4 linked regions of the Alligator mississippiensis genome follow. The protein of the gene in region 1 purifies or fractionates together with the protein of each later gene. This does not show direct contact. Links are inferred from orthologs where the notes say so. Each region holds a gene or a part of one and is shown in the gene's direction. Other genes may lie near its edges.

Region 1 (7,141 bases):
GAGTGAAGGATACCGGCAGGACCAGGGGGCTGCAGGTCGGGAGTGAGGGTCACCAGCAGGTCGGGGGGGGGGGGGAAGGGGGGTGCTGTGGCTTGGGAGTGAGGGGCAACAGAATGGGCAGGGCACTGGCATATCGGGGCTGCTCGGGGCAGGATGGAGACGGGATAGCCTCAGTTGGACCCATGTCCTGGCAGTGGAGCTCTGATTTTCCATGATAAAAAAACCAAAATCAAAAGCCCTAATATATAGGTATTTAGAATGTATTTTATTATAATAACAACTGAGGCATTGGTGGGCTTCCAAATTGCTTTAAAACTGTAAATATATCAATGAAACATTGTTTTCAACACACACACACACACACACAGAGTGCTGTTTCATATTAATTGTGAAAGAAACGTGGATTTTGAGTATTTAATGAGAGAATTTGGGGTTTTTTTCAAATAAGACAATTTTGGATTCATAAACAGAGAAAAACAGTATTTGTGCAGATCAACAGTAAAGGCAAAGAAAACAAGTTTAACTGATGATGCACACAGGCACAATTTCACCTAGGATACATTAAGATTAGAGGTGCACCAATATATCAGTCCATATCAAATCGGCACCGATAAAAGGAAAATTTACATTACTGGCAATTGGCTACACCAGCTTTTTTGGTCCGTGTATCTGATAATGTCACCGATAAATGCTGTGTGCGTGTGCACAGCTGCAGTCTGCACATGGCCAGGAATGCAGCCGGGTAGCGTGGAGAGCAGCATCCGGCTTGTAAGTCTGTAGGGGGAAAAGGGGTGCATGTGTCGGGGGGGGACAGACTGAGGCCCCCACAGTGAGGGAGGGAGTGGGGCTTGGGCATGGTGGGGCACAGGGCAGGGCCATGGGCAGCTTGCTGGGGGGACTGGGGGGCAGCTCCCTGCTGCTGCATGCACCCCTGGGGGAAGCATGTGGGGCCTGTGCCCCACAGATTTGTGTACAAGGTGAGGGTGGGCTGCCCGCTGCAGGCTCAGGGCCAGGGGCTGCTCTGACCTCTTCCCAGCAGGAGGCTGAGCCAGAGCTGTACTCAGGGCAGGCTCAGTTGCGCAAGGTGGGCAGCAGTGGTGGCGGAAGGGGTGGCGACGGAGAACTTTGGGGTGGCCATAGCTCCGTGGCCCCAATGCCACCTCTTCCAGTGCTGCTGCCCGCCCTGTGCAGCTGAGCCCATCCCGCCCCCACTCCCACCCTCGCCTGCCCTGAGCGCAGCCCTGGCCCAGCACTCCTGCTGGGAAGTGGCCAGCGAAGCCCTTGGCCCCGACCTCGCAGCCTGCCCTCGCCCAGCCCACAAATGCAGGGGGCACATGCCCCCCATGCCACCCCAAACAGTGCACAGTTTTGGGGAGCCGCTCCCTCCCCCGGAAAAGCTGCCTGCAGCTCCACCCCATGCCCTGCCCTGCCCCAGCTGGGCAATGCCTGCCCCAGCCCCACTTCCTCCCTCATCGTGGGGGCGTCAATCTGCCTGCTCCTCCCCCTCCCCCCTCCAGCACAGGCTTAACAGCCAGGCTGCACATTGACTATTGGATCAGTATCGGCCAATATGGCTGGTTAATAATTGGCTATTGGTATGAGCCAAAAAAAAATCTTTATCAATGAACCGCTAGTTAAGATAGCTAAAAATTTTTTAAAATTTCAAGTGTATTTACTTCAGTCAACTTAAGGTGAATTTTACCTCCCTTCTCGCCAGTGTTGAGACAGAAAAGGATCTCGGAGTCATCACTGATGCCTCAATGAACATGGGCCGACAGTGTGGGGACACGGTCAGGAAGGCCAACCATACCCTGTCGTACATCCACAGATGCATCTCAAGCAGGTCCAAGGAGGTGATCCTCCCCCTCTATGCAGCACTGGTCAGGCCGCAGCTAGAGTTCTGCGTCCAGTTCTGGGCGCCGCACTTCAGGAGGGATGTGGAGAGGGTCCAGAGGAGGGCCACCCGCATGATCAGGGGGCAGCACGGCAGGCCCTATGAGGAGAGGCTGAGGGACCTGAACCTGTTCAGCCTCCAAAAGAGAAGGCTGAGGGGGGACTAGTCAAGGGGGACCAGCAGGCATTGGGAGAGTCCCTGTTCCCCCCAAGCAATCCCAGGAGTTACAAGAAACAACAGACACAAGCTAGCGGAGGGTAGTTTCAGGCTAGACATTAGGAGGTGCTATTTCACTGTCAGGGTGGCTAGGACCTGGAACCAACTTCCAAGAGAAGTGGTGCTGGCTCCTACCCTGGGGGTCTTTAAAAGGAGGCTAGACGAACACCTTGCTGGGGTCATTTGACCCCAGTACTCTTTCCTGCCACAGCAGGGGGTCGGACTAGATGATCTCCTCAGGTCCCTTCCGACCCTACCAACTATGAAACTATAAAGGTTGAAGTCATATTAAAAAGAGCATGTGCTCCTTAAAAACATCTATTGCTGATCACACCTACCAAGGGAACTCTACTCAAGGGAAAAGAACCAGATTTTAATGGCTGAACTTTCACATAAAAAAAAAAAAAGTTGTTGATTTTTTCTGAAGTCTCTTTCAAAAAGTTAGGTAACATAGCGTAGTTTAGAATGCAAAACCCCACCTTCCCAAAACACACCTAACATTTCTTACAAGTTAACTGATGTATCACATCACATTATTTATCTTGTCCAATAGTCCTCTGCAGGAGAAAGCTTATATAAGTCCCATAACATATCTAATTGGTTGCAGCCATGTTCCCACATCACAACAGACAAGTTACACAAACCAGAACAAAGAAGCTAAGAACACCACACAAGTTGGGAGGGAGCATAATTTTTGCAGTAAAACATCCATTTGATTAACCTCAGCATGCTTGCTACTGTCAAGGTCATCTAGAGGAATCAGTGCCCTTCAAGGGACAACTGTCTTTTTTTAGCAACTATCTTCCCTATATGGTAATTAATCTATGATACTTTTCAGCAGTCTTAACTGTTACTTGTCAAAACTGTAAAAATGATTTATTTTTATAGTTTAGCTACCTATGGAACTAGAGCTGAGGTTCAGCCTCTAGAGCTCACAACACCCTGCTGTGACCCGAGGACAAAGCTCACATCACTGAGGAGCAGGGATCTGAAGATGCAAACACTACAAATAAAGAATTAAGATGGTTCAAGAATTAAGATGGTTCAAGACTATGTATCAGCGGAATTTCTTCCCTTTACTATCACTAGTTAATTGAGCGATAGTTATTTTGCCAGCATGGCTGGTCTAAACTCATTGTGCGAGTCACCAATTAAATTGTACAATAATTACTAAGCACTTGTGGCGTGGGCAGTCTTACTTTCTGCGTGGGGCTGGTCTGCATTTATAGCGCAATTCACCTATTAATGGTGTGATGACTACTTGGCGCTTGGGGCTAGTCTTATTTTGTACATGTGTCCGGGCTACATTTATAGCGTGATTTACCTATTAATGGTGCGATCATTACTTGGTGCTCAGAGCCAGTCTTACTTTGCACGTGTGGCCGGTCTACATTTATAGCGCGGTTCCCAGCGCACAGCTCGGGCGTGCCCTCTAGCGCAGTCGCAGCGCCCTGCTAGGCGGGCAAGCTAGGCCTGAGCAGCCACCAGCGATAAAGGCACCGCGCCTCCTCGAGCTCTCTCCGTCCGAGCCGGCGGCACGGCTCACAGCGCCCTTGCGCGCACAGCCGGGCCAGGACACACGTTACATGTAACGCTCCACGAAGGACCGCGAGAGCGCGGACGGGAACGAGGCTGCCCCCCGGCGCCCTCCCCCCACCGGGACGCACCTTCCTGCCGGCAGTAGGACATGGTGAGGGACTCGCGCGCCCGGCGCTGACTGACCCCACCGGTGCCCCGTCCGCCCGGTCTCCACGCTGCGAGAGGAAGGCCCCTAGGCTGTCTCCGCACTGCCTGCTGGCAAGCAGCGAAAGGGGGAGCACGAGGTGCTGCGGGGACACCCTGGGGAGCACCCAGCACCCTGCTTCTGCCTGCTGAGGGCCGCTTCGGAGGAGTTCAGCCGGCAGCTAAGCGCAGGCACCTTCGTGGCCACCCTCGGCTGCAAATGACCCCTCCCGGCATGCTTTGCATAGGCCGCGCTTCTCCTTCCCCGCCCGCGCCAGGATTCGCTTTCCCGGCACGCCTCGCGGCGGCCCGCCTGACTCCCGGCGTGCCTCGCGGCTGCGAAACTACAACTCCCGGCATGCCCCGCGCCATCGTGCAGTGCCCGCACCCGTGAGGATGTCGCGGAACGTAAGTGCTGCCCCGCGCCGAGGGCCCCGCGTGTCCGCCTGTCCTGGGGGCGATGCTGGGAGCAGAAAGCAGAGCGGCAGGTCAGGGTTGGGAGCAGCTAGGCGTAGGAGGGGCAGCAGATCAGGCTGGGGGCACAGGGCAGGGAGCAGAAAGCAGAGCAGCAGGGTCATTAAAAAATTAATGAAAACAAGGTAAGGCAGCAGTTAACAGAGAGAATCTAAACCAGTGGGTGCATTTTAAACTAAAGGTCTGATCCGTCCCCAAGTGGTTTTGTGGTGGTAGGAATATAATATATCACGTTATACTGATAATCATTAGAAATTTCCTACGTGTTTCTTGATAGATCCTTCCATGCATACGTGCCAGTTTGCTGTCTCTAACATTTCATTTTTGTTTTCCATTAACAGGTCTCTGACGCAAGCAGCAGAAAAGAACATGTTAAAATTACCAGTGAGCCCAAACCAGGGTTCCTGGAGCGGCTCAGTGAGACATCTGGGGGGATGCTGATTGGGTTTGTGTCGTTTTCCCTTTCTTTCTACGTGCTTTTTACCAATGAGGTATGTGAATTGCATGTCAAGCCAATGTTTTCCTGTATGTCTCGAGTCTATGGCACTTCCAGTCAAATTCTTTCTTACCTGAGTGTTTGTAATGTCAAACTGCAAAGCATTTGGGCTGTCCTCTAAGCTTTGTTATTAATTCATGTGTGAGAAAGGTGGAACATATGGGAAGAGCCTGAATCCTATCACTGGCTGAGTTGGGGACATAATAGAGGAGTAGGATATTGGATAGGAGAGCTGTTTATGAGAGTTTTTGAGAACTGAATATGAAGGGACGTGACGGGAACATCCAGAGTAAGCAGTGGAGTACAGGGAAGAATGAATAAATATTAGGTGGCAAGTGGAACTGAAGAGCATTACATGGATTTGCACATGCCTTCTGTGTGCAAGTGCCTCTCGTGTAAGTCGCTTCCCCCTTTTGTACAACAAAGGGAGTTAATGATTCTGTTGTACTATTGCATAGGGGAGGCTATAGATTTCATACTCTAGTTGACTTGCTTTGCTTGTGTCAAAACAAATAGTAGCCACAAGTAAGTAAGCAACCATATTCCTAAAACCTTATTTTTACATTCCCATCTTTCCCATGCTTGCTCAGAAAACTGTTAGAACTTATCTGAACTATAGTGTAAGTGTGTAAAGCTAGTTTAATCTCCACAAAACTGAGTAATTAGCTATACTACAGGTTATTTAATACTCTAGTTTCAAACTGTTTGTTTTAATTTGAGGCTAATTTTAGTTCTGATTCTGCAAATACTCAGGCCCTCAGCTCCACTACCTGTAATACATCTCCCAGAATTAAATGAGCTACTTGTGCTAGCAAACCTTAAGTATGTGCATAAGAGTTTGCAGGATTAAGGCTTTCCTTTATCCTGAAAGTATTTTTAATCTGATCTGACTGGAAATCTTGGAGTGGAGACAGAATTTGGTGAAATTTCAGAGCTTCACCCAGAAAACAAAAAGCTTCTAGCATGCTACCTACATAAATGAAGAAAAAGAATTTTTGCTATCTCAAACAGAAGTGTGTAGCATAAAGAGCAATAACCTGAAGTTAAGGAAGGGAATATTATCAACCAGTCAGAATAATTGTATGGTAAAATAACGCCATAGTAGCATCCATACTATCATTAGTGACTAAGGTCAAAAGGAAGAAAATAATTTTAGGGTATCATGGTAGGAATATTGTGCTGGTGAGTATGTACATTAACTTTAGTGGTTTAGTTGCATGAAGAAGTATTGTTCTTTCAAGTAAAAATCGGGCATTAAGATTGAAACAACAAATAAGTACAGATGTTTCATGCCATGTGCCTGATCATGCTAGCATTTTGTGGAATTTGTGACACAGTCTTCTGGTTGGTTCATTCGTTAATTCAAGATTCTTCCTCGTTTTTTTTTCATTGTATTCTCTTTTAATTGACTGCAGGGACGAGCTTTGAAGACAGCCACCTCTCTTGATGAGGGCTTGTCTCTTGTAATTCCTCTTGACAACATACGCACCGTGTCTCAACAAAATGAGGGGAAACTAGTGCATTTGTCTGGTGCCCTTGCAACATCAAAGGCAAGTAAAATAATAGTGGCCAAAAATTAGTGCATAAGTTGAGGGAATGGAAAGCTCTTCTGCCAGTTAAAACCAGGCATACTTGATATGCAGAAATACTTTGGAATCTAAACATGCCCTACCTGAGTATGTTGATGTTTTCAATTCTTCCTCACATCTGTACTGTAGAGATTTTGGGACTTGTCATTGCATTCAAAAAGATGCAAAGACTTGAGGATCTGATGTGGAAGCTGCACATCTTCTTGTTAGATCAGATATAATTATGTTGTGGTTAGTTCTTTTTCCAAGGCATGTCATGATGAAATAATGGCCAGCAGAGAAGACAAAGGGTTCATTTTAAATCTGTTCAAGCATGGTTGAATGCTTTGAGTAAGGGACAGTGAGCCAGGACACCTGGTTATGTTGCCTGCCTTTCCACAGGCTTGTCTCACTTTCTTCAGGCCAAATTTATCACTGCTCTAAATAGATAGCATGCACTCCCTCCTGTGCCAAGACTTTTTATACTGCATCCATTGCTGGTATATCAGTCACTTCATGGAATTTATCATTTGTACCAGAGTGAAATTTGATTATCCACCCAATGTGCACATTTCCTTTTATTCACGTGGCTTTGGAAAGTATAATTAACATAAATAGAGTTCTTAAAAATCCTCTGAAAAAAGATACACAGCAGTAGTGCAGAATTATACTGTTTCTAATGCATTGTTTCATTACCCCACTTTTTAAAATTTACTTTGGGTCTTGAGAGTTTTGTTCTTTTTTTCTTTTTTAACATTTTGAAGTGAAAAC
Region 2 (7,412 bases), on another chromosome or scaffold:
ACACTTGCAGGAAATCAGGCTTTTTATTTTTATTTTTGGTGGTATCTTTATTGGGCCTCAAGTTGCCAGACAAAGGGCACTTAGGGCATTTTTACACATGCTTCAGGAGGCATGGGGAGGGCGCTTTAATCAGTGAGCTGCACCAATTAAAAGTGCCCAAGTGTCACATGTATCAGTGTCCCTGTGCTGAAAAATGATGGCGGAGCACTTTGAACTAAAGCTCATCAAACAACCTATAGATCAAAGCAGCCCACCGCCATTTTTCAGTGCAGGGACGCTGATGCATGTGATGCTACAGTCTGCTGGAGCGCGTTAATTTCCAGGCTACAGCAGACTCGATTAACCAAGTCTGCTCTGGTGCACTGGATTTTTGGCATGTCGCACCAGGTTCCCTGCATGTGTATAGGAGCCCTTAGTGCTCAAAAATTTTCTTTTAATCTCTCTCCCAGGTATGCAGTTGGTCCAATAAAAACACTTCCCTCGTATTTAGAAATGGCAGTAATAGAATAAATTGCTTGCATATTTTATACATGGACTTAGTCCAGAATTCTGCAGGCAGAATGGGTCCCTTGCACTATTATCTCTGTCAGGTGCTGGAGCAGAGGTGGGCAAAATATGGCCCGCAGGCCAAATTTGGCTTGCAAGTCCATTCTATCCGGCCTGCGGGGCCCCAAAGAAATTTTTGAAAATTAAAATTAACCTGTCCTTGGTTCCTGTCAAAAATGAAAGGAACCAGGGTCAGTAGGACCCAGGGGAATCCTTGGTGGGCTCAGCAGCAGCTTGTAACCCGTCCCTGCTGTCACCCTGGGCCCCGTGCCGGCTCCAGGCTCACCCATCAGGGTTGTGCATGGCGGCAGCTGCTGCGGCCCCCTTGCTTGCTGCTCCAGACAGTGTTTGCTGCTGCTGCCTGCCTGGAGCTTGCGCTGCAGTGAGCCTGCCACTGCCGCCTCTGTGTTGCCCTGCGTGCAAGCTCTGGGTGGGCAGCGGCAGCAGCAAACACTGCCTGGCATGGCAAGTGGTGGGGGCTGCAGCTGCTGCCACCGTGCACAGCCCTGATGGGCGAGCCTGGAGCCAGCACGGGGCCCAGGTTGGCAGCAAGGGTGGGTTACAAGCTGCTGCTGAGCCCACCAAGGATTCCCCTGGCTCCTACTGACCCTGGTTCCTGTCATTTTTGACAGGAACCAAGGACAGATTCATTTTAATTTTCAGGGGCGGGTTACAAGTTGGTGCTGAGCATGCCTGCTCAGGACAGCCCCACATGAGCTGTGAGCGGCTGCAGCAGGAAGCGCCTGCCACGGGGCAGGGAAGGGGCTGCTTCTTCCTGTGCTCCGCACCAGCTCCTTCCCTGCCGGCGAGCAGGGGGTCAGGGCTGTGCGCTGCCCCCAGCCTGTACCATGGTGGGGGGCACTGGGAGTGAGCGGGTGCAGAAGTGTGGGGCCCACACCAGTGTCCCAGAGCCAGCAGGACCCAGAGCAGGGCGGCAAGAGTACAGGGTCCTAGCCAGCAGGGGCTCCATGGAGCCGGGCCAGCTCCCCCTTCTTCCTGCTGGTGCAGCCTAGCCTGGCTCCACAGCCCCTGCCCTGCTCTGGGCCCCACCTGGCCCTGGGACATTGGTCCCAAGATGGTAATCAAGGGGTGGGGCTACCCATGTGGTCCTCAACAGCTTGCTAACACTGGGTAAGCGGCCCTCTGCCCAAAATAATTGCCTGCCCCTGTGCTGGAGTCATGGAAATACAGGTGTATTCTAATTATTGATTAGTCATGCTAACAGACAAAAATAACTATCTCCAAGCAGGCTGTTAGGGTGGATTATCTCTGGTTAGAGAGAATTAAGATTAAGGGATAGAGAGGTCATGTAGAGAAAACAGTCTGGGGCAAAGAAGTCATGTAGGGTATTCTTCAGAGAATGGCAAAGATAATGAGTATGGTAGGCCTTATTTGGTGGTTTTAGTTACCAAGATAAACTCTGGCAACAAAGCAAGAATGGATTACATAAAATACCTGCTACACTTGATTTGGCTCATTTCCTTTTATAAATGTTTCCTCACTCTTCTTGGCAGCTTTATTATTGGGAATATATATATTTTTTCCAAACAGGTCTCTCTCTCTCTCTTTGTCTCTCAGGGTTACACTGTTCAAAAATCCTTGCTTAACTGCTAGAAATAGAGAAGCTTCTAATAAGCTTCAATTTCTTTAAACAGTTAAAACCACATAGAATAAGAACTTGGATTTTTAAAGGTTTTGGGGTTTGTTTTTTTTTTAAGTTTTCCTTACTTGTGCCATACTGCAAGGGAATAATTTGTGAAATCTCTTCAGATTTTGCTTTTATTAATCTGGTTTTCTGGATGTGGTATTTGAACTTTTAGAAACTTGTGTATCAGCTGATGCAGCGTGAAATTGAGCAATGACAAGGTTTTGTTCAGGTCCCCAGGTTTTCCCGATTCTGATGGTGCTGTGTTTGTTTGGACTGTGGATTTTATCTTCTGTAGTATGTGGTCCTTTGCCTTGTTTTGGGCAATCTCCTATTTTAGAGTAATGAACAAACTGCCTGAAGGACACAAGAATGCTAAATAGGGCCTTATGAGAGCTACAAACTTCAGAAATACTAGGTCTTCGGCATAAGCAAGATTCTTTGCTAGGTTGGAATTTTAAAATGCCACTTCTAAAACTTGATGTTAATATGACGACCCCAGAAACAATGATACAGTAGAACTGTTAATGCTTATTGAGGCCTAAGGTGTGGGTGATCCTGGCTTTCTGAAAAAGACTTATGAACCGATTGACAGAGTACATCTCAAAATTGAGATCAATAATTGGCAATTTATATTGTTCATTGCTGAAAGTTACTTTTCCATTACTTTCTTCCTCATTCCATAGATTCATGCCAGACATGTCCGTGGCTGTTTGGTTGCCTTACTTTAAGTGAACCTGGGTTCACTTATAACAGATATCTGCTTAAATTCCAGTTAATATTTAGAAATAGTGTCACAGTTAGGAAATGAAATGCATTCCTACACCTCCTAGGGTAGGAGTTTAATTCATAACTCATCTCAGAAGCACTTAAAAACACAGCCGTGCCCATTGCCTTCCCTAGGTGGCTGAACATTCAAAATTGTCCCTGTGAAAGCCTGGGTAGATGCTGTGCCCCTTCCAATCACATCAATGTAGTAATGATGTGGATTTTCTCTCTCCCAAACTGATGCTGACTCCGTTCACTCTAACACTCACTTTGGAGATAAAATAACTTGCAGCCCACAAACAAGTGCAGCATATCTCTTTGAAACTGCTTTTTTTTTTCTTTCTTTATCTGCAGCCTTTTCAGTGCTAGCTGTTGCTGAAAGGGACTTAGTGTGGATGGGACCTGGTTGCTGTTGTTTTATTTTCTTGCTCCCCTTTGAGGATGTTCCTGAGATCTCCCCTAGTCTGCTCCAGACTCTGTCTCCCTCAACCTCTGGTAGCAGTCATTCTAAGCGATCTTCTAAACTCCCCCAAACATAATTATTTTTCTGGTGCTCAGAGTATCAGTAGATGAACTAAGTATCTTTTTGTTAGCACTTGAGTTTTTAGCTGCCTTGCTCTGCAAAACTCTATTAGCTGGTTTCCCTCCTTCCTCTCTTCCCTATTCCTCAGTTTCTTTAGAATAATCTTCCCTAACTTTTCCTGTTCTTTCCCTTTTTAAATAATGTGACACATATATTACCTTTTTGCTTTTTTCCTACTTCAGTACTTGCTATCGTTAGTTAAAATTGTCAACTGTCACAATTCTAATGCAACTGCAACATGTGCCACTTGTTTGTATTACTGTGGTGCTTGGCAGCTGCTGCCAGCTTTGGCCATTTTCAAGGGGCCTAGGCCAGACTGCAGAAGTGTGGCTAAGCAGAAAGCCTCAAAACTTTTTTCTGAGTGACTGTAGCTTGAACCTTTGCAGATGTAACAACTAGTTAGGCCAGTAGGATAAAGGAAGCCCTCAGCATAACTGTCTAACTCACTAATGAGATTACAGTTAAACAAAGCACAAGGCCTGAAAGGCGACATAAGGGAAGACCATACATTAAATAATCCAGATATACTATATAATAGCTTTATTTTAAAATATTTGTAGTGGTGATTGATGTAACCAAATGTATTAGATGTTATTTTGTTGTAATAGATATCTTTTTGGTAAGATGCTTAGCAAATCTGTAAAAACAAAACAGCTTTGTTGAAGACCATAAACTAAAGAAGAAACAGGCCAGTGTTGAACAAGAGGGAAGAAAAAGGGATAAGAAACCCTCTGTAACAGGGTACATGGCTCATGGTCTGTAGCCCAGCTGCAGGTGTTTAGAAGGGGATCACCTGCCTGCCTAGGAGGACTAGACCAGCTGATAGGGATGATTGGCTGGCCCTAGAAGAAGTTAAAAGCTTCCATGGAGGAGAGTCAAAGGATATGGAAGACTGCAGTTCTGTGGAGGCAGCTCAGAGCTGGAATTGCCTTCTCAGGGTCTGGGAAGGACCACAGAGGTTGATTTAACTGTTTATTGCTTATGCAGTTGTTTGTTTTATGGTTTATGTTGCTTCCTGTGGGGACATGTTTGGCCCAGAGAAAATAAAACTGCTCTGTGAACAGTAACAAGCCACTATACCTTCCCTTTTATTTTTCCAAGGATGTAAATACAAACTAATTGACATCTTCCAAGTCCACAAGAGAACTGGTTCAGTCCAGGTCCAAAAGTTTCAGAGAAGCAAAAATTTAAATGAAATTGATCAGAGATCATTTATTAGAATATTAGAACCAGTCATCTAGAAATACTGGGTATAGGCTGGAGGGAAATTTGGAGAACTTGGCGAATTCATGAAGACCTGCTGCCATGCTACCTTCCTCCCACCACTCAAGTCTCCTCAGCCTGTATAGGTGAGAATCTACGTTGTGCTGTCATGGGGTGGCCAGGTGGACTTTGGGTTAAATGTTTGTTTTTGTGTTTTGAAGTGCAAGAAAATTAAAGGTCCGGCTGCAGATCTGTTTCTGTCTCTTATCATTAGTTAACCCACAACGTTACCTGTAATCTGGGTAATAGCTCTAGTCCTCAACCCAGAACCTGTAATCCCAGTTCACTACCTTTGACTTTCCTGGTCTGAGGGCCCCTTCTTGTTAGGTTTCAAGCCATAGCTTTTGTTTCAAAAAGGAACTGTAAGATTTTCTAACTTTCTGATCAGGTGCTAGGTAACAGTCTCCTGTGTCTCAACCCTGATCACTTCAGCAAAAATTAGTTGGGCTCAGACTCTGCAATTCCGTTTTCTCTGGGGAAATTAGTGATCAATCAGCTTTGCTTTAAAATAAAAACCGTTTCAGAAAAAACCTCTTAAAACAATAATCCACCTTAAATAAAGTTACTGCTTTTTCCGCAGTGCTTGTTCAAATGGCATTTTCCTTGAGGTGCTGACAAAGGTCCCCTGGCCATAAGAGTCAAAACACCTTTTTAATGCTTAAATCTTTGATCTAGTATGGCTAAAACACTTTTATAGAATAGGAGAGACAAGTTACAGAATTTTTGAAGTCAGCTGCTAGATCCCATTTGAGTTTAAGGTATACAAGATATTCTTATCTGGGTAGTTACTGATCTGTTTTCTTTTTTTATTGCCTCTATTATGTTATGTTATTCAGACTGAGGTACACCTACACCTTCATACATGTACCACCTAGGATCTTTAGGGCAATGATACTCAGCCAGTGCTACAGGTGCTGTGCTGTGAAATCTTTTTAAGGACGATGCACAGTCTTGCACTGTTAGTTGCACACACAGTTCACAAGATAAACTCGGATTTTGAACAAGAATCCATAGTGTCAGAAACATTTTGACCTGTTGTTCTTTGCAACAGAAGAATTGTTCTATTTTTTATTTTTTTCATAGTAAAAAAAAAAACCAAGTGAAAGCCAAGAGCTAGCATTTTCCTTGAGTCTGAGGGGTGGCTTGTATCCAAAAAAGGCTGAGAATCTCTGCTTTAGTGGGTACTTCAGTGATGATTCTCAGAGACAGGAATGGGGGAAAAAGGAAAAATGTGAATAGAGGAAAAAGGAAAGAAAACAGACACATTATGCACTATCCCTTAGGATACTGGAAAGGTTAGAGTTAGGTTGCAGTGACATATTACTTTGCTAACCACAACACAGAATTATGGAGATCTACCTCCCAAGACAGTTATCAGATGAGTAGCACTTCCTGTTATACTCTTTTATTGTAGATAAAGCAACTGATTTTTTGTTTGGTGTCTTGAACATTCTTAAATCAAGTGCACATATCTTTTAGTGCTGTCCCATTACCTCTTGTTGAAAGTACCTCTCCAGAAATCTCTTCAAGATATTGTATGAAACCCTCTTTCAAGATGGGACAAATTGACCTCTGCTTCTGAAGTGTCAGTAAAAAGGCTGAATACTCTTCTGATTAAAGCAGAAAAGGCTTCCCTTTTATAGTTAGCCCAGCAGTGCCTTTCTTGAACTTTTACTGTACCAGGAAAATATCTTATACTTGCACAGCAAGTAAAAAGTGGAAAATAAGTAGTTGTTCATTGGCTTCACTGTCTTGTATGATGCAACAGAATGTTTTATCATTTTGTCTGTGAAACTAGATTGCTGATGATGATCTCTCCTACCTGTAAATTATTGAACATTATATTCCTTTAAATGTTAACTACTTTACTGATCATGTAACATACTTTGATAGCTGTTAGACTTTTAAACAACCAAATGATTAAAAATGTATGCTTTCTCTATGGAATGAGTAGTAGTTAGCCAAGTTAGTCTGAAGTCAGGCAGAAAGCGAGGTAGAGGTGCACCCAAGGCTGGAAACAAATGTGATCCTAAGTCTCATGTGTGGTTGGTTATGGTGGTGCATGTGCTGAGAAAATAGACACCTAAACCTGTTGTGGTACCACATGAAAGGAAAATCAGTGGTGTAGCAAAAGGTAGTAATAGACTGCCACTTAATTGTGGTGGATAGCTTACCTTTGTGGTGGAGTGGGACAGTCAGCCTGAGCTGCTTGCATTCTTCTACCACTCCAGGCAGGTGCTCTGGAGGCTTGAGGGGCCCTGAAACTCTCAGAGCACTTGCCTGCTTTCCTTGCTTACAAAGGGGCACCCTGGGGAATCTTGGGGTACCTCTCCATTTGCAAGGAAGTCTGACTTCTTCACCCAGCCACATGTGGGGCACAGGTCTGTCTGAGTGGGGAAAATAGGATTTTCCCTGCTTGGCCAGACTTGTTACCAATTTATCATTGGAGATGGGTCTGGATAAATAGAGAAAGTGGGGAGATAACATCACCCCTTAGTTTTTCCCCTCCCTACCCATGGTATAGGGTGAGGGGTATTTCCTGTTCTGTGATGCATCAAGACAGCCAGTTTGCTTAATCCAGCAAAGTCTATGTATGTGTCCACATGA
Region 3 (7,248 bases), on another chromosome or scaffold:
TAGCCAAAGCCAGCAAGGTACAACCTGAATACACACAGGGAATAGCTCTATTAAGTAAGGTATTATTCTTAGATTTTCCTTTTCCAAAAGGAAACTTTGCCCTAAATTAATGCTGCATGATTATTTTTTAACTGAGGCTCTGCGTGCTGCCCCAACATATGTTAAAAATATACCACTAGATAAGATGGAGGCTGTTTACTTTAGAGGAGAAAAATAAGAGACAGTGATACTAAGTAATTATTAATATGAGAGTACTAAATCAAACCATTCATTCATTCTCTCTCGTAATACAAAGACAAGGAGTCATCCCCTGGACTCTGAAGTGAGAAGACTTAAAATGGATAAAAATATTTTTAATACAATATACTATTTGTCCATGGAACGCATTACCATGAGGTATCATAGAAGCCAAGAGCTTCAAATGACCTTGACATTTATACAGATCAAGATATGGTTACAATAGCAAAAAAAAAATTTTAAATTCTACAAGGACTAAATAACTTCTACAGGAGAGGAGTTAGGATGAAAGAGTCCCTGTAAGCAGGTTAAATCCATAACTGTACTAAATCGCATCATTTTCTCTAAAGCAACTTAATGTCAATAAATGAACCGCTAGTCTGATCTAATATGGCAAGTCATATGTTCTGGCAGGGACCAGATTTTGTCCTGGTATAATATATCCGAGTCTCTCAAGAACCATCTTTAGTTTAAATTTTAAGTCATTTTTCAAATTTACTTATCATTCAAACATTAAATGAATCCTATTTTATTGTTTGTAATCATGTATCAAATAAGGTATATACAGAGTTCTCTTGGTGGTTTTTTTTTTACTTACTCTTTGCTAACATCTGAAAACAGATGAGGACTGGACTGGAAAGTGACCCAGTGTTACTGTATTTAGCAATTACCTCGGATGAAATGTTACGGCTATGGTACAACAATACCTTTATTATGTTCTCAGAAACATTGCTCGTTTGTTAGTTGCAGACACAGCACTGCTTTCTTGCGTGTTATTCCACTTTCAAAAAAAAATAGTCCTTCAAAAAGAAATAAAAGGGGTAATAATTACTAATCTGTGTTGAACAATAAATCCTGAAACAGGGAGAAAAGACACAACTGTCCTCAAATATAGTCAAAACACAAGCTCTCTTTTCCCAAATTTCTAACCCCAGACCAATGCCCTGTCTGCTACCTGGCGAAAAAAGATCCGTTTCTCGGAAAGCGGGTGCTGACCCAGATAGGGAGCCGGGCAGAGGAAGAGATCTTGGTGCCACAGGTGAGAGAAGGGTATCCCGGACTTCCCTGCAGGATCCTGGCAGGTGGAGGAGGAGCGGATCATCTATGACCTCCCAGGAAGATCCAGCTGCCAGAAGGGGGAATGGGTTCTGGTGAAGATAATTATGTTTTATAGCATTTATTAATGGTTAATGCAGTATCAAGCCATAGACTGGATAAAGATGGATCTAATTGATATATTATTTTATCTGGTTTGAATAGAAAAGACATGCATAAGTTTTATCTTCATAGAGCTAATTGCTAGAGAAAGAAAATGTATGTGTGTAGAAATCTCTTTTCTACTAAAGCCAGTGGGAGTTTTACACTAATTTCAGTGAAAAATACAGGATTGAACGATCATTCATGCCATTTTTCCAAGCACAATGACTTAGATAATTGTAACACTGTAAAAATAACTAGAAACTAATACTTAACATAATGAAAGTTTTATAAATATCATCATTTATTCAAATACTAAAAAAATGTACAGCTAGGAATAGTGATTAATATAAGGAGTAGAGGCCCTCTACCAAACAACTTTTGCACTCTTAACTCCCAGGATCAGATTCTAAATTATAAATGATTTAAAACCTTTAGAGAACTTGAAGAGAAGCAAAACACTGAAATGCAAACTGATGAAGGCTGAGCTATTAAACTAAAAAAGATTAAGGATAATACAAGCAAATACACTTTACCGTTCTTATTACATTACTTGTAATTTTGCATTCATCCACTCATCCTGTTCTAAATTCAGCAGAGAACAAAATTGAAAATACACTGCACCTGGAGAAAGCATTCATAAGTTATTTTTCTGCACATCAGTGCAGTTCAGTGTCATGTCTCAAGAGCCCTCGCTATTGCTCAAACAGAAAACATATTCCAAAAAAAGCTTCAGTAAAATGACTTTATGTCTCTATGAGCCACAATTTCTGTCAAGACAAGTTAACACAGGGTTTCCTATCAAGATACAGCTGCCAGCAATCTCCCCTGAAAGAGCTCTGCTGTCAAAAAGGCAGGTGGAAGCTCCCATCAGCAGTCCTTTGAGAATTCCTGCACCAACCGACTTCAATAACGCCAACAGCTTGTTTTGTTCCTTTGCCCATAGATAACTGTGAGTCCTTATTGAAGCGGAACAGCGTACTTGTGCGATTCTTTTTGTGATGATAAAAATACACAAGCGTCACAAAAAGGTGTTTAAAAGGGATCTATAATTCCCCTCCTCCCGACACAAACCGTTCCGATTCAGAACTCCAAAAAAGCCAGTCTTATTTTGACTAATGTTTGCTCAGTTTCAGCCTAATGCAAATATTGCAAACCTCTCAAAAATAACCTAGCTGATATTTGCTAGGGGAAAACAAAAACTCTTCCCTTCCAAGAAGGAAGCACGTTCCAGACTTCAGTCAGGGTTTCAGAGCAGGTTCAACATCCCCGTTTAAATAACTCACTAGTTTCTGTGCATTAGTTTCTTTTTGAAGGAGCGAGCAGGCTAATGATGAAAGAACAAACCGAGGACCCCAGAAATCTAGTCTCTGGGGGACAACAGGTGCAAGAGGTATATCAGTCTTAAAGCACGTAAAACAGGGTGCTCAACCTCCAGCCTACGGGCCAAACGCAGCCCATGGAGCTGGGGCATCCGGCCTGTGGGGCCCCCCACACTCCCTCCCTGTGGCTGGATTGGGAGCCAGGCCAAGAGCGGGCCCACATGCTGTATCGGGCTCACAGGCTGGATCCAGCCCATGGCCTGAGCCCCAGCCATCCAGCCCAAGGGGGGGGAAGGCGGGGCACCACTGCTGGAAGACAGGCAGGGGCAGAGAGAGCAGGTCGCTGTGTTAGCCTGGCATCAGGCAGAAGGCAGGCAGTCCTGCTCCTCTGAGACGTCTGTAGACAGGAGAGCACCTGCTGTCCTGACCTCAAGGTGAGCAGATGCCCATGAACTTGGGCTCAGGCAGCTTATGCTCCCCGTCTCTCTAAACCAGTGTTTCCCAACCAGCGGGCCGCGGCACAAAAGTGTGCCGTCAGAAACGAACAGGTGTGCCACAGGCTGTTGCCACGGCAACAAGCCACAATAGATGTAAGGATAGGGAATGCCTTAACAGGTGTTCCACGGGAAAGTTTTATTAATATAAGCGTGCCTTGAGCTGGAAAAGGTTGGGAAACACTGCTCTAGACACCCAGGGTGCTGAGCTCACCTACACGAGGGCAGCCCCCCACCTTCCGCCTCTGCGACGTGCAGGGTTAAACCACCACCGCCGCGCTCCGCCATAAACGAGGCGGCGCGTGGAAGGGCTGCAACAGCGCTGCCCCGGCTTAAATAGGAAGCGGTCGTATTGGAAGCACCAAATTACTGTATTTGCTGAAAAATAATTGCATGCTAAAAAAAAAAAAAAATAGGCACACAAGTTTTACTTGACGTTGCTCAGCCGTAACTCCAGCGAGCGAGCGAGCGAGCGAGACCAGGGTCACCCAAGCTGAAGTGCTTCTTTCTTTCATAAGAAAGCGCTGGCAGCAAACCCAGGAGGAGGCTCAGGCTCCGGCTCCTCTCTCGCTTGCTCCCAGGGCCTTACGGCTGAGGGCAAGCAGAGCTCGGGGGCATCCGGACCCCAACGGGCCCGCACGTGGGACGCCCGCCAAAGCTTTTGGAAACATCGGAAGCCCCAGGTGCGGGTGGAGGATATTTGCCAGGCGCAGGGCCACTTATGGGTCTGGACTCATGGAGTTGGAATTAGTTTTGGCTAATTTGGCCTCGGCTACAAATTAAATTTAAAAAAATAAATAAAAAAGAAACCCCAGGGTGCCTGTCGCGCCGCACTAAGCAGCTGCGTCCAACAGCGCGGCTCTGCTCGTGCCAGGGAGGCAACACCGGGCGCCCCGCCCCCTCCAGGGAGACCCACCCCTCCCTGGCTACGGAAACCCGCGGGGCTCAACCCGGAGCCGCCCCAAGCCCCGCCCCCACACGCGGAGGGGCCGTGGCCACGCCCCCCACCGCCCGACGTGCGCACGCCGCAGCGCGGGGCACAACGAGCCGTCCCGGCGCCCGGCGCGAGCCGCCGGCACCATGATCACTTCCGGTGGGTCAGAGGGGAGCGGAAGGGGGGGCCGCAGGAGGCGGCGGCGAGCGGGGCCGGGCGGCGCGGGGCCCCGCGGGGGGTGGGGAGCGGGCGGGAGGGCGGCTGCTGCGCTTCTCCTGGCCCGAGCTGGGGCAGGCGAGCCCTCCGCCGCCGCCGCCGCTCCGGGTGGGGGAGCGCTTCCGGGCCGCGGTGTCCCGGCATGCCCCGCGGCCGGATGTGCCGCCATCTTTAGGGCCCCTCTCTGCCTTGTATTGACAATAACAAGTCCCGATCCGGTCCCCCCTCCCGGACAGAGCAGGAGGCAGAGAGGGGGGAGGAGGGAGAGAGGCGAGAGCAGGCTGGAGAGCGCCGGCTGGGGCGGGGGGCAGCCGGCAGCGTCCACGGGCGCCTTCCCTGCGGAGAAAGGGGCAGGAGACGGAGGCGGAGAGGGCAGCAGTTAGGAGCCCCCCGCGACGGCTGAGGCTGGGCCTGGACAGGAGGGTTGGGAGGCGCTAGCGGGCGGAGAGAGACGGGGAGAGCGAGGCCCTGCGAGAGGAGTGGGGGCAGGAGGCTGCCAGCGACTACTGAGCGGAGACAAAGGAGCAGGGGGAAGGGGGCGAGAGGCCGTCAGGGGCTCCCCTGAGAAGGAAGGAAGCCGACGAGACGGGAGACCGGACGACCCGACATCCCGGGGGAGAGAGAGAGAGAGGAGCTGAGAGACTCTTGATCCGGCAGCCCCGAAACGGACTCGGACTCTCTCTCTTGGTCTGTCCTACCACCAGGATTTGATGCCCCTCAGCCTGCTCACCTCTGTGTGTTCATGTTTCCCACAGGTTTCTCTTCCCCCAACCCCCCAGCAGCAGCTCAGGAGGTCAGACCTGCCACTGATGGTAGTAGCAGCAGCAGCAGCTCCTCCTCCTCCTGCAAGAAGAGAAAGTTAAACAGCAGCAGCAACAACTCGGAGAGAGAAGAGTTTGATTCCCTTTCCTCCTGCTCCTCCTCTCCTTCCAAAAACAGCTCCTCATCCTCATCTTCCTCCATCATCACCACCTCTTCCTGCTCCTCCTCAGGGGGTGCCTCCACCAACCATCACCTACAGAAGAAGCTGCGCTTTGAGGACTCCTTGGATTTTATTGGACTCGATGTGAAGATGGCTGAAGAGTCTTCCTCTTCCTCTTCTCCCGCCGCCTCTTCTCAGCAGCAGCACCAGCAGCAGCTCAAAAATAAAAGCCTTTTAATTTCTTCAGTGGCCGTTGGGCACCATGCGAATGGTCTGACCAAAGCTGCCTCCTCTACTGTTTCCAGTTTCGCCAATAGTAAACCTGGCTCTGCCAAGAAGTTAGTGATCAAGAACTTTAAAGGTAACAGGCCATAATGTGAAGAGTTGACACACTGCTTGTATTTTATGTCTATATGACAGCTATCCACTGGGCTTGTAAATAGGTATAAGTTCTACTGGAAATATTCTTTGGTGGTGACCCCCCGAGCGCGTGTAGAAAAAGGGGAAAGTCATCTTTTTTTATAGTATGGGATTTATGACACTGCATACGCACTTGGAGATTTATGTCACTTAGGATTGTTTTTTGGACGCTCTCAGTGTACCTGTGAAGGACAGACTTTGTTGTGGGCATTTAAGAAACGTCTTCTGGTGTGAGGTTGTTTTTTAATTGCCTTTATTCAGAATGGCCGTATTTGATATTGCCTTTGAAGTAATCCTGACTCAAGTCACAACAGTAATTTAGTCCAGGTCATCTAATAGCTCATAGCACAGGGTAGCCACTTGAAAATAGCCTCTTCTGCCTGGTGTCTTTCCATTTGTTAAGTTTGAAATTAATTTAGATTTTAAAATGATTATTGATATTTAATGCTTGAGCACTTTGTGGATTGACGCTGAGCATCCTGCTACACATTTTCCTGGCATTATCTGTGACCCATTACTTTTATGTCTTCTCTTCTTCACCTATCTTGACTCTTTTTTCTTTTCTTTCCTTTTCCATTTTTCCCCCTCTTTATTCTGCCTCCTCCCCCCCCCCCAAAAAAAAAGGGGGGGGGGTACCTGCTGATCTTCCTGCATGAGTTTGGGTTGTTGAATGAGGCCAGGAAGTGTTGTGACTGAGCAGATACCAAAGCTTTGGATACCATGTTGCTTGAACCTGAGCTACTCCGTTTAATAGCTACTTTATGGTTTACTTCCTGGAGTAGGCAGGGAACATGCATAGCTTTTGAGCTGCTGTCTGTTATTTATGTCAAAACTTGGGCAAATCCAGGGTTCATGTAGTTCTCTTCGCTGCTTCTCTCTGACACTTTGCACTAATTCAGAAGCTTCCTTCCCTATTCCATTTCCTTTATTCATGTTGAAAAATACTGATTTACATAACTTTTTTTTTTTTTAATCCTAAGTAATGCTAGTATTTTATTGGTATTTGAGGCAGGGAGGGGGGAGTCTGGTAACTCCACTGTTCCAGTATGTTGTAAGGTATCTATAACGAGCCCCAATTTATATGGGGCTTGTTATAGATACCCTACAACATACATGGATTAGATTGTAACGCTGGTTTTCCCAGTGACATGAGGAAGTGTTCTTCCACTTACCCTACTGCCACATGCATTCCTTATTCACTTGCAGACTCAGAATATTAGATTAAGGCATGATCCTGAGAAACTGACTTTCAACCATGGCTTTCTTATCTAAAGTAGTGAAATTTAGGCAGTGGCTTTTTACAACTTTTTTTAATTGCTGTGGATTTTAGTTGCCTATTATGAACTGCCATGTTGGCTCCCACCTGGCAAACTAGTATATATAAAATGTATCAGTTTTGTGACTGCCCTTCTTCAGCCTTTCATGTTGAGGAAGTAAGTTTGACCTTATCTGAGATGCTAGTAATGTTTGATTTCTTTTTTTAAAACAATACCTTTTTCCAATTGA
Region 4 (6,969 bases), on another chromosome or scaffold:
TGAGGCCAAGAGGTGGAGTTCCTTGCCAGCAGCCAAGGGGGAAGGAACTCTCCCAGAGCCAGCAGAGGGGAGAAACCTGACTGCAGGTACAGCCTCAAGACGGGTAAAGGATGGAACACCCCAGGGGTGGCTGGAATAAGGTTATAGCTGGGTGGCTAGAGTTGATGTTATAGCCCAGGGGATTGTGTTTTTGGTTTACTGTTTAAGACTGGTGGTTTGGGTGAGGCTATTAGGGGAAGGAGGAGGCCTCTTAGGGGACCCACAGCAGTGTGGGGACTCTGGTGCCAGAGAGGGCGCAGCATTCTGGGTGCACCTACCCCAAGCGCCAGTGAGGGCACCGCGCGAGACAGGGCGGTGGAGAGCCCGAGGCAAACCAGGGAGCCGAATTATAACAGGGCCCAGACCAAAGAAAGTCTGTTTCATCTGCGAGGCTTGGGGTGTGGTAAAGGGATGGCTGGAGCCACGCATAGCCCATAAGGCTAGGGTGCCCCGAAACACCTGTTATAACATCTATTCTGAAGCAGGACCCATCAGGGATCCAGGAGTCCATGGGCTCCGAACGTACAGTAAACTGTGCCCAAGGTGACGGAAAGGCAGTCTCCCTAATATACATATTTTCATCAAAGATGCAGCAGGAGAGAATTGAGGGTGCCCTTTGGGTCAACTTGGCATGGTAAAGGAGGCCTTAGGGGAGATCACAGCAACCCTAAGACTCCGCATTGTTACACACAGCTTAGCAGACACCTTGTGCATGAAATGCATGTTGACAGTACCCTCACTGTCTGGACAGGATACGTCAGACTGGACCACCAATGAATGAGTACCAGGTAGATGCACAATGAAGGGACTAAAGGTATAACACTTGAGAGAAACAAAGAGAGGGTATGTTCATTACTCAGTAACTTCCTTCAGGAGAGATGACCATAAACTGAAGCAAGAGACCCACAGAAGATAACTGCATGCTGGCCAGATGTGTGTCTTCCTGCGTGCATCCCTGGGGCACAGTGTATAAAGGGAGTTATCGCTTGCTTGCTAATTTGTCATGTGCTGCTGCTGTGTATCAATAAAGGTCCCTAAGTTATCAACGGGATGTGTTGTGATTGGTCATATTAGGGATGTTGCACCCTGCCCACAATTGAGTATGAGCTGCTGATTCTTAAAATCAGGCCAACAAGTCAAGACAGGGATCAGGAACCTGTCCTAGATTACCCAAAACCTGGTCCCCTAACTGCTAAACAAACTGTGAGCAAATAGATGTTGCCACCTTTTGGTATGCCACATCACAGTAAAATTAGTGGTGCAACAAAAGGCAATAAGACTACCACTATCACCATGGGCATCTATTAGCTCTGTGACAGCAGAGTATGAGCAGCCTGAGCTGCATGTACTCTCCAGCCATCCCAGGCAGGGGCTCTGGGAGCTTCAAGGTCTATCAAGCCTATGGAGCAGCTGCTCACTTTCGCCTTACAGAAAGTCACCCTGAGGAATCCTTTTTTTTTTCCCAAAAAAAATATTTATTTCGCTATATATATAAATAAATAAAGATATATAACTCCACCTCCAGCATTTTGCCAAGTGGCCCCTGTGGTTCACTTGGCAGCTCAAAGCACACTAAAAACCTGTTACATAGTTCACACCATGTAACTGCATGCCCATGCACCCATCTCCATACCTATACCCCCCATCCACTGCCCTCCTTAGTGGGTCTACTCCTGAAAAAGTCTATGCCAGACCCCTCCACCAGATGAGGTCTGCTATTTCTTTCCTGTCATCCTCTTCTGTCTTTTTACAGTACCAATACATTTCACTTAGTCCCATTTTAATACAGTCCTCAACTGTGGGGTCTGAGTGTCTGTTTATGAGCAGGTTCCTGGCTTTCCACAGGGCATACCTGAAGCAGGATACGAACTGGTTGGAGTGAGCTGTCTTTGGTGTCTGGTCAGGTACCTGTAAAGAACCACTTCCCTGGTCAGGTTTTTTAAACCTGTCACCACCAGGAGGAGCACACTTCTCTGCTATATGGGCAGCCCCAGAAGAGGTGGTCGATTGTTTCTGCCTGCCAGCCACAGGCCTGGGCAGTTCGATGGGCCTCTCTATCCTGCGCTGTTTTTCCATGCCCGCATGGGGAGTGGCCTGCCAGTTCAGGTCTCTGCACTCCTTCTGCAGGTCCTTGTGGAAGATTCGCTCCCACACATCCTGGCAGCTGTCACCAGGTAGTAAGTCTACAGGCGATATGGTGTCTCTTGCCCTTACCACTTCCCTAAACTTGAAAGCCCGCTTTCCCCTGCTCAGCCAGACCTGTCCCCTGCGCTTCAGGGAGCGGGGCCGCCTGTGCAGGGAAAGCTGAGAGATTAAATCATCCACTTGTCCTACATCATCAAAGGTTGGAGGCGGGGCCATGCACATTTTGCCCAATGAAGCAAATCTGAACGGCCTAGACCTGAAATGCTGAAAGAGGCTGCAAATGGGAGAGGAACAGTAGGAAAAAAACCCTTGATCATCCCCAACTCACTCTCCTTTTTAGCATCCACTCTCTGCCCCTGTGTGTGGTGGATAGCCTTGTTGTTTCACTCCCATCCCTGTGTGACGCAGGCCTATGTGGTGGGCACTGGGAAGATGGACCCACCCAGTAAAGCTGAAAGCCCCCCTTCATATAGGGGAGGGGGAGCGGGGGCTAAAAGCACATCAAGTGATCATGGCTGGGGGTCAGCTAAAGAAGGAACAGGGATGGGAGCAAAAGTCCAAGGTGCAAAAGGAGGGTGCCATTGAGCAGAGCACACCAGAGCTGCCAAACACCAGAGGCTGGGCAAGATGGACCTAGGGGCTGGGGGCAGTTCTGACGTCCTGATCTGCTGCGAGAGACCTGTGGTGGCACAGCTGATCCCATCCACTGCCTTTGGCCAGCAAGCCCCAGCTGTCTGGGACAGGCTATTTAAATTATATTATATTGTATTATAATTATTACATATTTATAACATATCTATATATATAATTATGACAACATAAATTGTATTATATTGCACTTTATTATATATTTTATACATGGTTGTATATGCATACGTACATATATGCTTATAGACACGAGGCACCTCTCAGGGAAAGGCCAGCTCTTCCTTTCCCCTTTTTTTTCTTTTCAGCCTACAGATGTCGGGGAGCCCTGCAAACCACTCGCCCTTCCCCCCACCGTGCTGGGTGCATGTCCTTACTGCCTCCGCCCAAGCACCCTGATCCCAGATGCAGCTCAGTCTGCATCCCAACGACTAGCACGTGCGGGACAAGCGCCTTGTCAAGGACAGGTTGAGACGCTTGGGGGTGGGCACCTGCATCAGTAGGTGGATGGGGTAGCAGTGCGAGGTACGCATGCGTACCTCTAGCCTTGACTCGATGCGGGGAACCCTCCTTACCGCGGGGTTTGGTGCGACACGCGCATGCGTGCACCGAGCCCTGACTGGTTAGGTGGACGCCACAGGCCACCTTCGGTGAGAGGTGCGCATACACACACCCGGCCCTGAGTCGGGCGGGAGGGGACCTGCCCCGTAAGCGTGTTCGGTGCGGTGTGCGCATGCGCACACTTGGCCCCCACTCGAGGCGCGAGGTACGCATGCGCACACCTGGCCTGGACTCTGGTTGCCGGGACCGCGCCTTGGCGCGAATGCGCACATCCGGCAGTGACGTGTGCGGGCGGAGTCACACTAAGAGTGGAGAGGTGTGTCAGGCCGCGGGCGGTAGGGGGCGTTGTGCGGCGTGGCTGGGCCTCCGGCGGCCGCTCTTGCTCGCTCGCTGCCTCTGCAGCCCCGTGCTGCGTGTGCAGCGGGGCCCGGCCTGAGCATGGACCGGAACCCGACGCCGCCGTCCAGCGAGGCGGAGGATGAGGAGGCCTCGGGCGACGCCGTGGGGGACACCGTGTACAGTAAGCACTGGCTCTTCAGCGTCCTCACCAAGCTCATCGAGGTGCGTGCGGGGGGCTTCCTCAGGCCGGGGCGTTCGGTGCGAGATGCGCATGCGCGCACCCGGCAGTGACCGAGGGAGACCTGCCTGCGCGCGGGGGCTCGGTGCGCGGTGCAGCAGTGACGGGGGCGGGGCGGGGCCAGAGTCTCAGTGGAACCCCCGAGGATTCCAGCCGGGAAGGGCGCTGCCACGAGGGGGCTGTGAAAGGTTCTATCTCAGTGGCTCTCAACTGGGAAAGGATGTGGGGGGTGTCCTCTGCGGACCCTGGGGTCCTGCGAAGGGCGCACCAGGAAGGGTGAGGATGATAGGCCCATAAGGGCGGGCTCAGGTTCTGGGTGTAGGGAGATATTGGGGCTAGCCCACTGGGAGGCTGAACTTCAGGAGTTTAGCTACAGCTGGCATGGCTTTAACTCCAGATGGGATGGCTTTGTGGACTGTATCTTTGATATCCTTGAGTTAGAGGACTTGGGATCAAGCATTCCCTGCCAGCTGTCCAGTTGAACATACCTGGAGCACTAGGTTCCAGTTGTGTCCTCAGAGCCCCTCTGCAAGGAGTTAAGTCCCCCTGACGAATCAGTTGGTTCATGACGTGGGGCAGCACTCCTTTGATAAAAGTTGGGGGGTAAGGGAGGCACCTTGAGGCGAAAACAATTGAGAATCGCTGCCCTAGTAGTTTTCCATAGTCAACCAGTGATAACTAAGAGCTGGTTTTGTCCAGGAGGTGCCTTGAGTCTAAAAAACTTGAGAACCATTGTGGTAATACCTCCTGTCAAGAAGAAGCTGATCAGCAGAGGATCCTACTTATTAAACCTGTTCAGCGGGGGAAAGCGAGGCAGGATGAGATGAAAGGCCTGCTGATCTTGTAAAGCAAGCCTCTTTTGGCAAAGCAGGGAGTGATTCAAAAGTACTGAATGCTTCTGTGAGTTTTGTGAGTGCTTGAGAAGAATATGTTTAGTCACTTTTTTTTTTTTTCCTAACTAAAACTGTAACTTGTTCTAACTCCTTGCATTTCTTCGCTGTAGCTCAGTAATTCTAGCCTCATTTTCTCTTCTGTACTTCATAGGTTATTAGCCCTGAAAAGAATGACTTGAACTTGAGCAATGAGGAGATACAGACAGAGCTAGAGGAAGAAATGGAGAATGACATATGTAAAGTGTGGGATATGTCCATGGATGAGGTATGTGAAGCAGTCTTACTTAGCGAAATGTTGAAAGTAACTGTATAATTAAGAATTTTTTTGCAATTTTGGCCTTTTGCTTAATGTTCTTAATTTAAATGGTTCTGAAAGAGGGTTGGTAATATTAGGTCTTGTTTACATTGTAAAATTCTGCCAACATACTGTATGTCATATGGAAAAAAAATCATACGTTGTAGTGGATGTAGCTGTGCCAGTGAAATACCTAGTTTGGAGGCAGCTGTGCTAGCAAAAGAAGGCTTTTGTTGTTCAGAGAGCTGTTACTCTTCTGGCAACAGAGCTGCATCTGTCCTGGGGAGTTCGCTAATGTGACTCTGCTGCTGTAGTTAGAGCAGCAGTAGCCTTGTAGTGTGGAACAGGGGTGTCAAACTCACTCTGGGCACCTGACTGCCTCCAGACTGTTGGGCTCCTCCTGATCTGGATCTGCAGACTACTGGCAGCTGTGGCCTTTGCTGCACAGCCCTTGTGCTGCTTCCCCCCCCCCCCTCATTTTGCAGCAGGCCCTGTCCCCTGCGCACCCCCTCATTATTTCCAGTAGCCCAGTGGGTGAGATGGGATGGCTTGGTGGACCATATCTTTGACATCTCTAGGGTAGAGGAGTCAGAATCAAGGATTCTCAGCCAGCCATCCAATTTGGATGTCATTGCTCCTTCTCTGTTCTAGGTGACAGTCTCCTGACACCCTAAAGCAGGTAGTAATTTGACATGAAAAAGATTAATGATGTCGCCATGTATACTTTAAAGACTAGGATGAAAATAGCAAGAATTTTTCTGGCACTCTAAACTAATCGCTAGGTCATGTACAAGAGTCTTCAGTTTGATGTCAGTTGCTGGTACCGAGTTGTTTTTTGAAGGTAGGGAACAGAGCTCTGTGTCTGTGTAGGTAGGGAACAGGGCTCTTGGACTGTTTATGGAACAGGATCTGCCATCTGGTGCTCATTGGTTCAGAATTCTCTGGGATAAATGACACCATATTGGAAGCCTCTGTATTTTCATATGACTTATTAGACTTCATATGTCAACTAATATGGAAATTAATTCTTTTGTTTATCTTAGAACTGTATAATGGTTGTTTACAATTTCAGCTTTTTAATCTCTAGTGATTACATTTCTACCCTTTTTAATATCATACTAATCTATAGTTAACGACAATGCTTGTTGCTATTAAATTGTATTATGGTTGATGAATAAACCATGCCTATGTAGTCTAATAAGACTTTTTTTTTTTTTATTTTGTGATACCTAAAGTTTCCAAGAACCGAAATGTTAGCAAATTCTTGAATAAAGAAAAAAATGCTCTCTTTGTTTAGATGTTTCTAAATAAACAACTTGGAAGATGAATCCTTTACTTCCAAATAGGGAATTAATTTTCTGGTTTAATGAGGTGGAAAAAGGAAGAGAAGATTTCTACTACGTTCTTTTCTGGCCTCTCTGGTTAAGTCCTAATAGAAAATCTCTTTCCTTATTTACCTTTTTATCTGCCTGAATGTTATGGCATGGTTGAAGAAAATGGCATTGGTTGAATTCTTACTACTTAGTGCTTTTGCCCCAAGAAAAATGAAAAAATCAGTAGTGGACCAAACAGAATATTGATGACTTGTGTAAGGTGTTAATCAATGAATGAAATTCCACAAAGATGGATAAGGATGGTGTAGTAAGGAGCATCACATCAGTGAACACATTTCCTTCTATTATTGACTGTTCTTGACAGCCCAATGAGAATTGGCAGGCAGTTTGGCTGTTGCAGTGAATCTGACAACTTCTTGACTTGGCCTGATTTTCCATGGGAAAGGTTTGATAAATGTGTGAAAAATATATTTTAAAAGA

The links.
Region 2: the proteins of TMEM43 (region 1) and BZW2 purify together in Homo sapiens (affinity purification with mass spectrometry; 3 studies listed by BioGRID and IntAct, counting the BioPlex papers as one, with this or other methods). This does not show direct contact. The link is inferred for Alligator mississippiensis from reciprocal best matches to the Homo sapiens genes TMEM43 and BZW2.
Region 3: the proteins of TMEM43 (region 1) and CUL4B purify together in Homo sapiens (affinity purification with mass spectrometry; 3 studies listed by BioGRID and IntAct, counting the BioPlex papers as one, with this or other methods). This does not show direct contact. The link is inferred for Alligator mississippiensis from reciprocal best matches to the Homo sapiens genes TMEM43 and CUL4B.
Region 4: the proteins of TMEM43 (region 1) and SAAL1 purify together in Homo sapiens (affinity purification with mass spectrometry; 3 studies listed by BioGRID and IntAct, with this or other methods). This does not show direct contact. The link is inferred for Alligator mississippiensis from reciprocal best matches to the Homo sapiens genes TMEM43 and SAAL1.

What each region holds. Positions count from the first base shown.
Region 1 is NC_081835.1:16,920,345-16,927,485, reverse strand, and holds the start of TMEM43 (transmembrane protein 43), read left to right. Parts: upstream 1-4,129; 5' UTR 4,130-4,228; coding exon 4,229-4,240; intron 4,241-4,647; coding exon 4,648-4,797; intron 4,798-6,217; coding exon 6,218-6,352; intron 6,353-7,141. Other genes in the region: CHCHD4 (mitochondrial intermembrane space import and assembly protein 40), read right to left, coding at 3,778-3,799. UniProt on the Homo sapiens protein: May have an important role in maintaining nuclear envelope structure by organizing protein complexes at the inner nuclear membrane. Required for retaining emerin at the inner nuclear membrane.
Region 2 is NC_081828.1:163,897,637-163,905,048, reverse strand, and holds the start of BZW2 (eIF5-mimic protein 1), read left to right. Parts: upstream 1-4,411; 5' UTR 4,412-4,426; coding exon 4,427-4,500; intron 4,501-4,563; exon of another isoform or gene 4,564-4,847; coding exon of another isoform or gene 4,848-4,891; intron 4,892-7,412. UniProt on the Homo sapiens protein: Translation initiation regulator which represses non-AUG initiated translation and repeat-associated non-AUG (RAN) initiated translation by acting as a competitive inhibitor of eukaryotic translation initiation factor 5 (EIF5) function.
Region 3 is NC_081831.1:72,376,440-72,383,687, forward strand, and holds the start of CUL4B (cullin-4B), read left to right. Parts: upstream 1-4,241; 5' UTR 4,242-4,330; coding exon 4,331-4,343; intron 4,344-5,155; coding exon 5,156-5,683; intron 5,684-7,248.
Region 4 is NC_081825.1:191,297,133-191,304,101, forward strand, and holds the start of SAAL1 (protein SAAL1), read left to right. Parts: upstream 1-3,963; 5' UTR 3,964-3,994; coding exon 3,995-4,243; intron 4,244-5,011; coding exon 5,012-5,125; intron 5,126-6,969. UniProt on the Homo sapiens protein: Plays a role in promoting the proliferation of synovial fibroblasts in response to pro-inflammatory stimuli.